3 linked regions of the Pelodiscus sinensis genome follow. The protein of the gene in region 1 interacts with the protein of each later gene in a biochemical or structural test. Links are inferred from orthologs where the notes say so. Each region holds a gene or a part of one and is shown in the gene's direction. Other genes may lie near its edges. The genes, in order: XIAP, HTRA2 and septin-4-like.

Region 1 (3,744 bases):
GTAACATAACTGTTTGTGCTACTATCACACCTTTTGTTAAAGGATCTCTAGATATTGGTCTATCAAAAGTGGAACTAAGGTCCCTATACCCTAATCATTACTCATACAGGAGTAATCATGGGGAGTGAAGATGACACATGGTAGTAATGGTTTGGGGGATCAGGCAGACCCTAATATTGTACCACACATCAACTTTATTAGGGAGAGCACTCTGCCTCTGTATTCTGTATCCCCAGATTCTTTAGATAATGAAATTAAGAGGATGCAATGCTATAATTTAAATAAGTGGAGGGAGAGAGAAAGTGAGGGCAGAGATGTTTTCAGATGAGATTGGAAGGCAGGAGCTGTGGTGAGAAACTGTTCTCAATGGCAGAGGCTGCAGAGAAGGTTCTTGTGCCAACAGTGGGGAAGATCTGTAAGGGAAAAGGTGCAAGATGAAGGCAGGGAATGGAAATTTGGGGCTGGAGCTTGAGTGCACTGTGACTGTGCTGTCCTGGAGCTGCGAGTACTGATTTGGGCCCATCAGGGCAGGGGCCCTCTCTCCCCATCCCCAGCTGTTTGGTGTTGCGAACAAGGGTGGAGAGGATGTGTGGAAGTGGTTTGGACTCTGGCTCTCTGGCTATGAGGGATGAAGGTCAGAATGGGAGAAGTGGGCCAACCATGCCCAGTACCAGAATCTTACCCATGCAGAGTAGCTGGCAACATCCAGAGCCCTATCCCCAGCTGGCCACTCTCTTATGTACTGGCTTACTTTCACCTCTGCATATACCTAAGATTGATAACCTTGCATGTCTCCTCACTCTTGCATGACTCAAACCCTCTCCCACATGGGCCTTACACTTGCAGTGTTGGTGGGCACACAGCTGCTGTATTACCAACAATTTTGATCTGTTGCCGCTTGTTAAATTGCAGAAGTGAGAACACAGTAGCATCTTTCGCTGGCCCCAGAAACTATTAATCTAAGAGATCCCATGTAGTGCAAAAAATGCGACTCTTTAGCCCCCATGTAAAAAACCCCAAACCCTGCCGCTTAAATTAGTGGGGGGGGGGGGAGGGTGTTTGTTTTTTGGCAACTGCCAAATGCAAATCCTTAAAACATTACCCCCAAAACAGCCAGTGGAGCCAGATACCTGCCAGGTGGTGGTAACCCTCCTCTTCTGTGGTCCCACTGCCCTGCGGAGGGACAGGGGCTTGGCCCGGGACAGGGCAGAGCAGAAGGAGCTGCCAGTTCCCCGAGAGCTGCGCACAGAGCCTCCAGCCTAGCGCGCGCCTGGGCCAGGCCCTCACCTGATCCCGCCCCCACCTCCAGGGACCTGCGCGGCCCTTCCCGCCGCTAGGTGTCGCCGCCGCCAACGGGACCCAGCGTCCGCCCTCGGCCGCCGGCGGACAGGAGGCTGCGAGCGCCATCTTCTCGCGGGCTTCCTCCGGCGCGCGGGGCCCACGGCGCGGAGCCAGGGCGGTGAGTGACAACGCGGGCGCGGGCCGCTGCCGCTCGCTCGCCCTGAGGGCAGGGGACGAGGCTGCCTGGCCGGCCGGCTGCAGCGGGGGGGGTCTCTGGGCTCCCCTCTCGGGCATTAGCAGGGGCGGGCGGGACCGTCCTTCTCCTGGGCGGCGGAGAGGCGGGGGCGTTACTCTCCCCCCCCCCCCATCGCCGAGCTCCCCAGCCCCTCCTCAGCAGCGCCCGCCCGGGGGAGGGACACGGACTCTGATCCCCTCCCCTCGGTCAGAGGGGCTCCCCCCTGCAGGCGGCAGCGATTCTCATTTCACCTGCTGCCAGCGCAGCTTTCATTGCTTAGATCCCCCTTTGGGGGGGTTACCTCCAAGATCCACCCGCATCCTGTAATGTGTCGTAATAAGGAAACACGCGTGTTCACTGAAAGGGCCCCCAGATCTCAGCGCTTGACCTGATTCATGGGCAGCCCCTCACACTCTGCGTGTGGCCCTCCGGGCGTCCTGTTACCTTGAGAAAGTGGACCCATCCTAGCTAAGGCTTAGTCGCTTTTACTTCCCCCATTTCCGACTGTGGCGTGTGTCTCACCTACGGCTTTGCTGCATTAACTGGTATATAATGTAATGAATGGCATTTGTCCACACGTATGGAGTACAACGGATATAGATCTTTGCAATTTGCAAAATGTGCCTCAAACTTTAATTCAAACAGTTCTTAAGTTCTTTGCATTTAAACCCACTTTATTCCACTAGAACCTGTCCCCGGGCCCTAGGTTCCTCACCCCTGCTTTAAGACAGTGTCTGAACGAACTCCTCTGCTGTGGTTGGCCAAGGTCCACCACTACATAAGCACAGAAGAAAAACAGTCCTATCCAGTATGTGTCTGTCTTCTGCCCATTTTACTTTTTAGTCTGCCAAGAAACAGAAATTGAAAGCCCACAACTTTCAAGAAGCCAGAATGAGTAGTTAAGCTGGACGGACTAGAGCCATTAATTCAATTTTCTGAGACTGTAAGTGCATGTTTAGCATGTTTTGTCATGAGATTTAATTGTAACTTGTTTTTAAAAGAGAGAGTCAGTATTTTATTGGTTTAAAAATAGAAGATGTGATTTAAATCAAATCCAGTTTAAATTTAAAACTTTTTTTTTATTTAATAAATTATTGATTTTTATCCACCCTGGGAATAACCTTTAAAACATTTTCAATATATTTGTTCCTCTCCATTCATCTAACAAACTTGTTGCACTATAGCATTTGAAGTACATATATCTTTATGCTGACTCCTTCAAGAAGCCATTTATAGAACCAAGTACAGTAAAATGTTTTAAGAAAGTTATTTTATATCTGGATTTGATTTTGTCAGTGAAGCTAATGTGGCCACTGAGGAGAGATTGAAATGCCACCTAGCTGATTAGCTGAATGCCCACAGCTAGGCTTTTTTTCCTGTTCATTTACTGGTGATGCATGTTCACATGTGCCTTGATGCAATTTTTTTTTTCTATACAGTATAAGGCTGGAAAAAATCCTCACATAGATGAAAAAGATGAGGGAACATTGGATGGGAGGCAAAAACATGGGGATGGAAAATATTACTCATTTTCAAAAGTGAAGGGAAATTCCAGGATCTGTTAGTGACCTTTCCTGTTGCATTCATCAACAAAATACATTTAGCCTAAGGGGTGATTTGTGGATAGAGTTTGTGACTTCTTGAAGGTTAACAGAACTGGGAATAGATTGTGTTGGCTGAGGTTACAGACTGTTATGGTGTCTATAAGACCAGAGTTTCTCAATATGTGGCTTGCAACTCAAAGGTATATCACCATCCAAGCAAGACCAGGGCTGGCTAGACGTGGCTTCCCGTTTCAGGCTTTGTAACCCGGCTCATAGGCTAGCAGTGTCACTGTGGTTTGGCTCAGTTACCCCTCTGTCATGTACTCTTCTCCCACAACTATGAGATTCTCCTACTGTCTTACCTCCTGTCATGGACCCCGACTCCTGAACTTCCCTCTTCACCCCACTTAGCCTCTGTGTGTAGAGGCTGTGTGGTTTTTTTGGGAGCTGTCAGCTTGCCGTCTCTCCCCTAAACTTCTATGTTCCATATCCTTCCCACTGAAACCTCAAACTCCTTTGCCCTTGGGATGTAAGTACCGATCAAAATAGTTAACCAGTTAAGCAATTAAAATTACATTCTTTAGCTGGTTAACCATTGTTGAGCGCAAAGCAACTATGGTGGGAGGGTCTTACCGGGCATAGTGGGGCCACATCCAGGGCTATGCAGAGAAGCTCCGGGCCATG
Region 2 (3,744 bases), on another chromosome or scaffold:
CCCCCCCGATCCGCCCGCCCCCCCCAGAGAGCGAGCCCCCCCCGATCCGCCCGCCCCCCCCAGGAGAGCGAGCCCCCCCGATCCTCCCGCCCCCCCCAGGAGAGCGAGCCCCCCCGATCCTCCAGCCCCCCCCAGGAGAGCGAGACCCCCCCGATCCGCCCGCCCCCCCCCCCGAGAGCGAGACCCCCCCGATCCGCCCGCCCCCCCCAGAGAGCGAGCCCGCCCGCCCCCCCCAGAGAGCGAGCCCCCCCCGATCCGCCCGCCCCCCCAGGAGAGCGAGCCCCCCCGATCCTCCCGCCCCCCCCAGGAGAGCGAGCCCCCCCGATCCTCCCGCCCCCCCCAGGAGAGCGAGCCCCCCCGATCCGCCCGCCCCCCCCAGGCTCTCACCGGTGCGCGTCGAAGAGCCGCTCAGGGCTCGAGGCGGGAGGAGGCTCCATCCCGGTCCCGAGCCACCGCCTCAGCGAGGCCCAGGACCCGCCGCCATCTTACCCACGGCGGCGCCCTGCGCGCGGGGCCCTCTGGGAAAGGGAACCCGCGTGCGCCAGAACGAGCCTCCCGGCATGCCCCGCGCGGCTCCCTGCCTCTCCCGGCCTGCCCCGCGCGGCGCGTCCAGCGTCTCCCGGCCTGCCCCGCGCGGCTCCCTGCCTCTCCCGGCCTGCCCCGCGCGGCGCTTCCAGCGTCTCCCGACCTGCCCCGCGCGGCGCGTCCAGCGTCTCCCGGCCTGCCCCGCGCGGCTCCCTGCCTCTCCCGGCCTGCCCCGCGCGGCGCGTCCAGCGTCTCCCGGCCTGCCCCGCGCGGCTCCCTGCCTCTCCCGGCCTGCCCCGCGCGGCGCGTCCAGCGTCTCCCGGCCTGCCCCGCGCGGCTCCCTGCCTCTCCCGACCTGCCCCGCGCGGCGCGTCCAGCGTCTCCCGGCCTGCCCCGCGCGGCTCCCTGCCTCTCCCGACCTGCCCCGCGCGGCGCGTCCAGCGTCTCCCGGCCTGCCCCGCGCGGCTCCCTGCCTCTCCCGGCCTGCCCCGCGCGGCTGAGCATGGCGGCGGCCCGGGCGCTGTGGCTGCGCGCGGCCTGGCGGGGGCCGGCCCGGGCCCTGGGGGCCGCTCCCTGCGCGGGCCGGGGGGAGCCGCGGCCGCCCCCTCGCGCGGGCCGGGCCCGCTGGGCGCTGGCGGGGGCGGGGGCGGGGGCGCTGCTGCTGCTGCTCTGGGGCCGGGAGCCGCCCGCGCTGCTGCCCCGGGTGCGCGCCGCCGTGCCCGCCCCCCCCGCGCCGCCCGCCCCCCCCGCGCCGGGCCCCGGCTCCGCCCGCGCCGCCTTCAACTTCATCGCCGACGTGGTGCAGAAAACCGCCCCCGCGCTGGTCTACATCGAGATCCTGGGCAGGTACCGCCCCCCCCGGGACCCCCCCGGAACCCCCCCGCCCCCCTGGACCCCCCCGCACTGGTCTACATCGAGATCCTTGGCAGGTACCGCCCCCCCCGGGACCCCCCCGCCCCCCCGGGACCCCCCCCGCACTGGTCTACATCGAGATCCTTGGCAGGTACCGCCCCCCCCGGGACCCCCCCGCCCCCCCGGGACCCCCCCCGCACTGGTCTACATCGAGATCCTTGGCAGGTACCGCCCCCCCCGGGACCCCCCCGCCCCCCCCGGACCCCCCCGCGCTGGTCTACATCGAGATCCTTGGCAGGTACCGCCCCCCCCGGGACCCCCCCGCCCCCCCCGGGACCCCCCCCGCGCTGGTCTACATCGAGATCCTGGGCAGGTACCGCCCCCCCCGGGACCCCCCCCGCGCTGGTCTACATCGAGATCCTGGGCAGGTACCGCCCCCCCCCCCCCGGGACCCCCCCCCCGCGCTGGTCTACATCGAGATCCTGGGCAGGTACCGCCCCCCCCCCCGGGACCCCCCCGCCCCCCCGGGACCCCCCCCGCGCTGGTCTACATCGAGATCCTGGGCAGGTACCGCCCCCCCCCTGGACCCCCCTGCGCTGGTCTACATCGAGATCCTGGGCAGTACCCGCCCCCCTGGAACTCCCCTGTCCCCCGGGACTCCCCTCCTGACCCCCCTGGTACCGCGCCTGCGGTGGTCTACATCGAAGTTTTGGGCATGTACCCCCCCCCGAACCCCTATGCTGGTCTACATCGAGATCCTGGGCAGGTACCGCCTCCCCGGGACCCCCCCGCCCCCCCGGGACCCTCCCGCGCTGGTCTACATCGAGATCCTGGGCAGGTACCGCCCACCCCCCCCCCCGGGACCCCCTCCGCCCCCCCGGAACTCCTCCGCGCTGGTCTACATCGAGATCCTGGGCAGGTACCGCCCCCCCCGGGACCCCCCCGCCCCCCCGGGACCGCCCCACGCTGGTCTACATCGAGATCCTGGGCAGGTACCGCCCCCCCCGGGACCCCCCCGCCCCCCCGGGACCGCCCCACGCTGGTCTACATCGAGATCCTGGGCAGGTACCGCCCCCCCCGGGACCCCCCCGCCTCCCCGGGACCCCCCCGTGCTGGTCTACATCAAGATCCTGGGCAGGTACCGCCCCCCCCGCCCCCCCGGGACCACCCCCGCCCCCCCGGGACCCCCCCGCGCTGGTCTACATCGAGATCCTGGGCAGGTACCCGCCCCCCCGGGATCCCCCCGCCCCCCCGGGACCCCCCCGCGCTGGTCTACATCGAGATCCTGGGCAGGTACCCGCCCCCCTGGAACTCCCCTGTCCCCTGGGACCACCCCCACCCCCGGGACTCCCCTCCTGACCCCCCTGGTACCGTGCCTGCGGTGGTCTACATCGAAGTTCTGGGCATGTACCCCCCCCCCCCCCCCCCGAACCCCCATGCTGGTCTACATCGAGATCCTGGGCAGGTACCCCCCACGCTCTCCTGGACCCTCCTGGCCCAGCTGGTACCACCGCCTCCCAGTATTGCCCCAGTGCTGGTCTACATGGAGATCCTGGGCAGCTACTGCCCGACCTGCTCTCCCCGCCCCGCAGCATCGCCTGGCTTCAACCTGCTCCCAGTACTGCCCCTTGTGAATCTGACCTGCCACTTACCCCTTCCTGCCCTTGTACCATCTCTCCTCTCACCTTGTTCTCTCCTCTTCCAGAGAAACTTTCCCCATTCTTCAAATCTGCTTCCCCTCCTCTCCCCTCCCCGCCCCACCCATACTGACCCCCAAGTGTTTCCCTAAGTATGTGTCATTTGATTGGCTGCATAGAAACCCCTGCTGCTGTGTTTGTGTGTATCACTCTTGGGTCGGGTGCTCTCTAGTAAGGATGTAAAATCCACTTAATTAGTTAACCAGTTGAATGTTAAGGGGAGCTAGTTATCTGATTAAACAGTGGTAGGGGAATTTCCATCCACTAGTCCTTAGGCACTTCCGCATTTCTCCTTTGAAATGGACAAAAGCCCCAGTGGGGACTCTTGTGCATTTCAAAGTTGGAACTCTGCATGCAGCCGAGGGCCAGCAGGACTTCCCCTTGGTCCCAAGTGTGCCAGCTTTGGAATGTACAAGAGTCCTCAGCTGACCACGGGATCCATGCGGCGCTGCCCCTTTGAAATGCCTCGACGCTGCCACTTTAAAGTGCCCCCTCTTCCCTTCCCCTTTGCTGCTGCTTCTATCTGATAGAGGCAGCAAGCAGAGGAGTGACTAGTCGACTCGACTGTCTGATTAGCATTTGCTTATTGGATAGTTGATGACTGCTCAACGTTTCCCTCTACTCTCTTCTAGTCAGTCCCTGGCAAGGAACGATTCAGTTGCGCCGCCGT
Region 3 (3,744 bases), on another chromosome or scaffold:
TCTGTCACACAGGCGTCCCACATATCCAGGGCTGTGCGCAGTGCAGATACCCGTCTGTCACACAGGCGTCCCGCATGCCCAGGGCTGTGCGCAGTGCAGATACCCATCTGTCACACAGGCGTCCCGCGTGCCCAGGGCTGTGCGCAGTGCAGATACCCGTCTGTCACACAGGCATCCCGCGTGCCCAGGGCTGTGCGCAGTGTAGATACCCGTCTGTCACACAGGCGTCCCGCTTGTCCAGGGCTGTGCGCAGTGCAGATACCCGTCTGTCACACAGGCGTCCCGCGTGCCCAGGGCTGTGCGCAGTGCAGATACCCGTCTGTCACACAGGCATCCCGCGTGCCCAGGGCTGTGCGCAGGTCAGATACAGGTCTGTCACACAGGCATCCCGCGTGCCCAGGGCTGTGCGCAGTGCAGATACCCGTCTTTCACACAGGAATCCCGCATGCCCAGGGCTGTGCGCAGTGCAGATACCCGTCTGTCACACAGGCGTCTCACGTATCCAGGACTGTGCGCAGTGCAGATACCCGTCTGTCACACAGGCGTCCCATGTATCCAGAGCTGTGCGCAGTGCAGATACCCGTCTGTCACACAGGCGTCCCACGTATCCAGAGCTGTGCGCAGTGCAGATACCCGTCTGTCACACAGGCGTCCCGCATGCCCAGGGCCGTGCGCAGTGCAGATACCCGTCTGTCACACAGGCGTCCCGCATGCCCAGGGCTGTGCGCAGTGCAGATACCCATCTGTCACACAGGCGTCCCGCGTGCCCAGGGCTGTGCGCAGTGCAGATACCCGTCTGTCACACAGGCGTCCCGCGTGCCCAGGGCTGTGCGCAGTGCAGATACCCGTCTGTCACACAGGCGTCCCACGTATCCAGGGCTGTGCGCAGTGCAGATATTCGCATGTCACACAGACCTACCCAGGCTCAGCCCATGGAAACGGGCCATTGAGATGCCCTGGGAGGCTCCTGCCTCTGCTGGACCAGGCCAGGGATGGGAGAGGAGGTATCCAAAGGTGAGAGCTGTGGGGCCTACATCAGCCCTGGCCGGTCTGCGAGCAGGAGGTGGGGGGCTGTCGCGGCTGTAGTGAGGCTGTGAGGGGCTCACTGGCCAGCCAGGCGGTGCTGCCTTCAGGAGCTGGGCAGCTCGGGATGGGGACAGGGGAGGTTCCCACCCAGCAGCCTCCTTCCGCGGCCTTTGAACTTGTCCCTGACTCGATTTCTTCTCCTCTCGCCCCACCCCGCTGCACTCAGGCCGCAGAGCGGGCAGGGGGCGCAGCTGCTCCCAGGGTGTCCGAAGAGCCCCCGCCCTGTGCAGCGCAGCCGGCCATGGGGGAAGGAGGCAGCCCCTGCCTCCCGGAGCGTGCCACGGAGCTGGCCGAGACCCCTGGCGAGCAAGCAGTAAGAGTCTGAGCTGCCGCTGGAGCTGCATGGGAACGTCCCTCCAGCCCAGGCCATCCCACCCCGCTCCCCGGGGACCCCAACGCTGGCCACGGGGGCCCTGAATCCCTGGGGTGCAAGGAAGATCTTTCAGTGTCCTGACTCTCCCCATGCTTTCCTAGGCCTTCTTGGGGCATACGATTATTAACAGCAGCTTCCTTGCACGCCTCACACTAATGCTTCCTACAGGGCTAGCGGTGCACAGAGCCTTCCTTGCACGCCTCGCACTAACGCCTCCTACAGGGTTAGCGGTGCACAGCGCCTTCCTTGCACGCCTTGCACTAACGCCTCCTACAGGGCTAGTGGTGCACAGCGCCTTCCTTGCACGCCTCGCACTAACGCCTCCTACAGGGCTAGCGGTGCACAGCGCCTTCCTTGCACGCCTTGCACTAACGCCTCCTATAGGGCTAGTGGTGCACAGCGCCTTCCTTGCACGCCTTGCACTAATGCCTCCTACAGGGCTAGCAGTGCACAGTGCCTTCCTTGCACGCGTCGCACTAACGACTCCTATGGGGCTAGCCCATGGGGCAACTGCTGAGCTGAATGTAACCTGCAGACGCAGGTAACAAGCCCTGAGCTGGAATGACCAGGCTGCGCGCAGGGGCTGGTTCCGCGGCTCTCGCTCCCTCGTGTCTAACTCTCTAAACCAGCCTGCTCCTCTCTCTGCCCTGCCCCCATCTCTGCAGATCAAGCGCTTCCTGAAGGAAGACTCGGAGGAGGCCGAGCTGGCCCAGTTCCTGAGGGAGTTCCCTTCGGACGAGAGCTTTAGGAGAGCGGAGCCAGAGGAGGGCCAGAGGGCCCCTGGCCAGGGCCACGTGGATCCCAGCGAGGTCCCCAGCGTAGCCCGGCCCGGGGCCAATGAGCTGCTAGACCAGAGGGAGCTGAAGCCCTTCTCCCGGCCTTGGCCCCTGGACTGCCCGCAGCAGCACATCGCGGCTCCGGCACCACTGAGCCCCTCACGGCCCAGGAGCCCCTGGGGCAAGCTGGATCCCTACGACTCCTTGGAGGTACGGTGCACCTGGGGCAGGCCTCTCCGGCCTAGGGAGCCAGGGCTGTGGGGCCTGCCCGTGAGACGCCAGGGCCCCAGGACTCTGCATGAGGACAGGGCTCACCCGAAATCCTGCCGGGGCCGAGTGCGCCCAGCTCCCTGGGAGTTCCAGGAGCGGGCCCGACGCTGAGGCCGGGGACACGAGGCTTTTCCCCTGGGCTCCTGGCCAAGAGCGGCGCTAGCGCGGGGCAGGCCAGCGAGCGCTCTCCCCCCCAGCGGGCGCTCCTCCCGACTCACGCCGCTCTCCCCTGCAGGACGATAAGGAGTACGTGGGGTTCGCGACGCTCCCCAATCAGGTCCACCGGAAGTCGGTGAAGAAGGGCTTTGACTTCACGCTGATGGTGGCAGGTAGGCGCCCTGGCAGGGAGCACTGGGGGAATTCCCAGGGAGAAGAGACCCCAGCAGGGCAGGTCACCCTCGCTCCGTAGGAGCCATGGCAGCCGTGGAGCAGAAGTGCGTCCCATTCCTCTCCCCAGAGGCCCTGGGGTGCCCGGGCTCTAGCCAAGGCCCCGCGGCAGCTGCCTTTGGGGCGGGCTGACGGCAGAAATCCCCGACACTCAGGGTCTCCGGTGCTGCCTTTGTTCCTGGAGCAGCAGGTGCAGATCCTGTCTCCTCGAGGGCCTGGGACAGGGGCCCTCCTGCCTTGCTTGGGAGCTCCGTGACCCCTCTGCTTCTGCTCTCTAGGGGAGTCTGGCCTGGGGAAATCCACCCTGGTGAACAGCCTCTTCCTCACGGACATGTACCGGGACCGCAGACTGCTCAGTGCCGAAGGTGAGAGGAGGGACCACTGCCGGCCTCCCAACTCACGGGACACTAGGACTGGCAGGGACCTCGGGAGTCATCGAATCCAGTCCCCTGCCCTCCCGGCAGGCCTCATCCCTGATCGAGATCCTGTCCCAGCTTGGCGCAGGCGGCAGGGCAGCACCCTGGGGTGTAACCCCCCCCCCGGCCTCTTAGCAAATGACCGTTGTGTGCCTGGGCCCTCTGGTGCTGTTCGTTTGGACGCCTCTGTGGCGTTCAGACCCCTGGGGCCCAGGCTGGCTCCCATGGGGGCTGGGGGAGCTTGCTTTGGCCCAAGGAGCCCTAGCGCTGCGCAGAGGCGGAGGGTTTGGCCCACGGGAGCGTCTGTTGCTCAGCCGGGTGTTTGGCGGGAGGCTGTGTGCTCTGCCAGGGCCGAGGGACCCAGGCTGAGGAGCGCAGGGAGGGGCCTGGCGGCTGTTGTTTCCCTCGGGGAGCCCCCCCCCAACGGCTTGGCCCA

The links.
Region 2: the proteins of XIAP (region 1) and HTRA2 form a complex in vitro, tested with the Homo sapiens proteins (10 studies listed by BioGRID and IntAct, with this or other methods). The link is inferred for Pelodiscus sinensis from reciprocal best matches to the Homo sapiens genes XIAP and HTRA2.
Region 3: the proteins of XIAP (region 1) and septin-4-like form a complex in vitro, tested with the Homo sapiens proteins (4 studies listed by BioGRID, with this or other methods). The link is inferred for Pelodiscus sinensis from reciprocal best matches to the Homo sapiens genes XIAP and SEPTIN4.

What each region holds. Positions count from the first base shown.
Region 1 is NC_134723.1:32,366,490-32,370,233, reverse strand, and holds the start of XIAP (E3 ubiquitin-protein ligase XIAP), read left to right. Parts: upstream 1-1,338; 5' UTR 1,339-1,459; intron 1,460-2,359; exon of another isoform or gene 2,360-2,459; intron 2,460-3,744.
Region 2 is NW_027465889.1:426,897-430,640, reverse strand, and holds the start of HTRA2 (serine protease HTRA2, mitochondrial), read left to right. Parts: upstream 1-1,027; coding exon 1,028-1,371; intron 1,372-3,744. Other genes in the region: lipid droplet-regulating VLDL assembly factor AUP1, read right to left, coding at 388-437.
Region 3 is NC_134731.1:15,970,315-15,974,058, forward strand, and holds the start of septin-4-like, read left to right. Parts: upstream 1-1,232; 5' UTR 1,233-1,327; coding exon 1,328-1,399; intron 1,400-2,124; coding exon 2,125-2,445; intron 2,446-2,740; coding exon 2,741-2,834; intron 2,835-3,170; coding exon 3,171-3,257; intron 3,258-3,744. UniProt on the Homo sapiens protein: Filament-forming cytoskeletal GTPase. Pro-apoptotic protein involved in LGR5-positive intestinal stem cell and Paneth cell expansion in the intestines, via its interaction with XIAP. May also play a role in the regulation of cell fate in the intestine.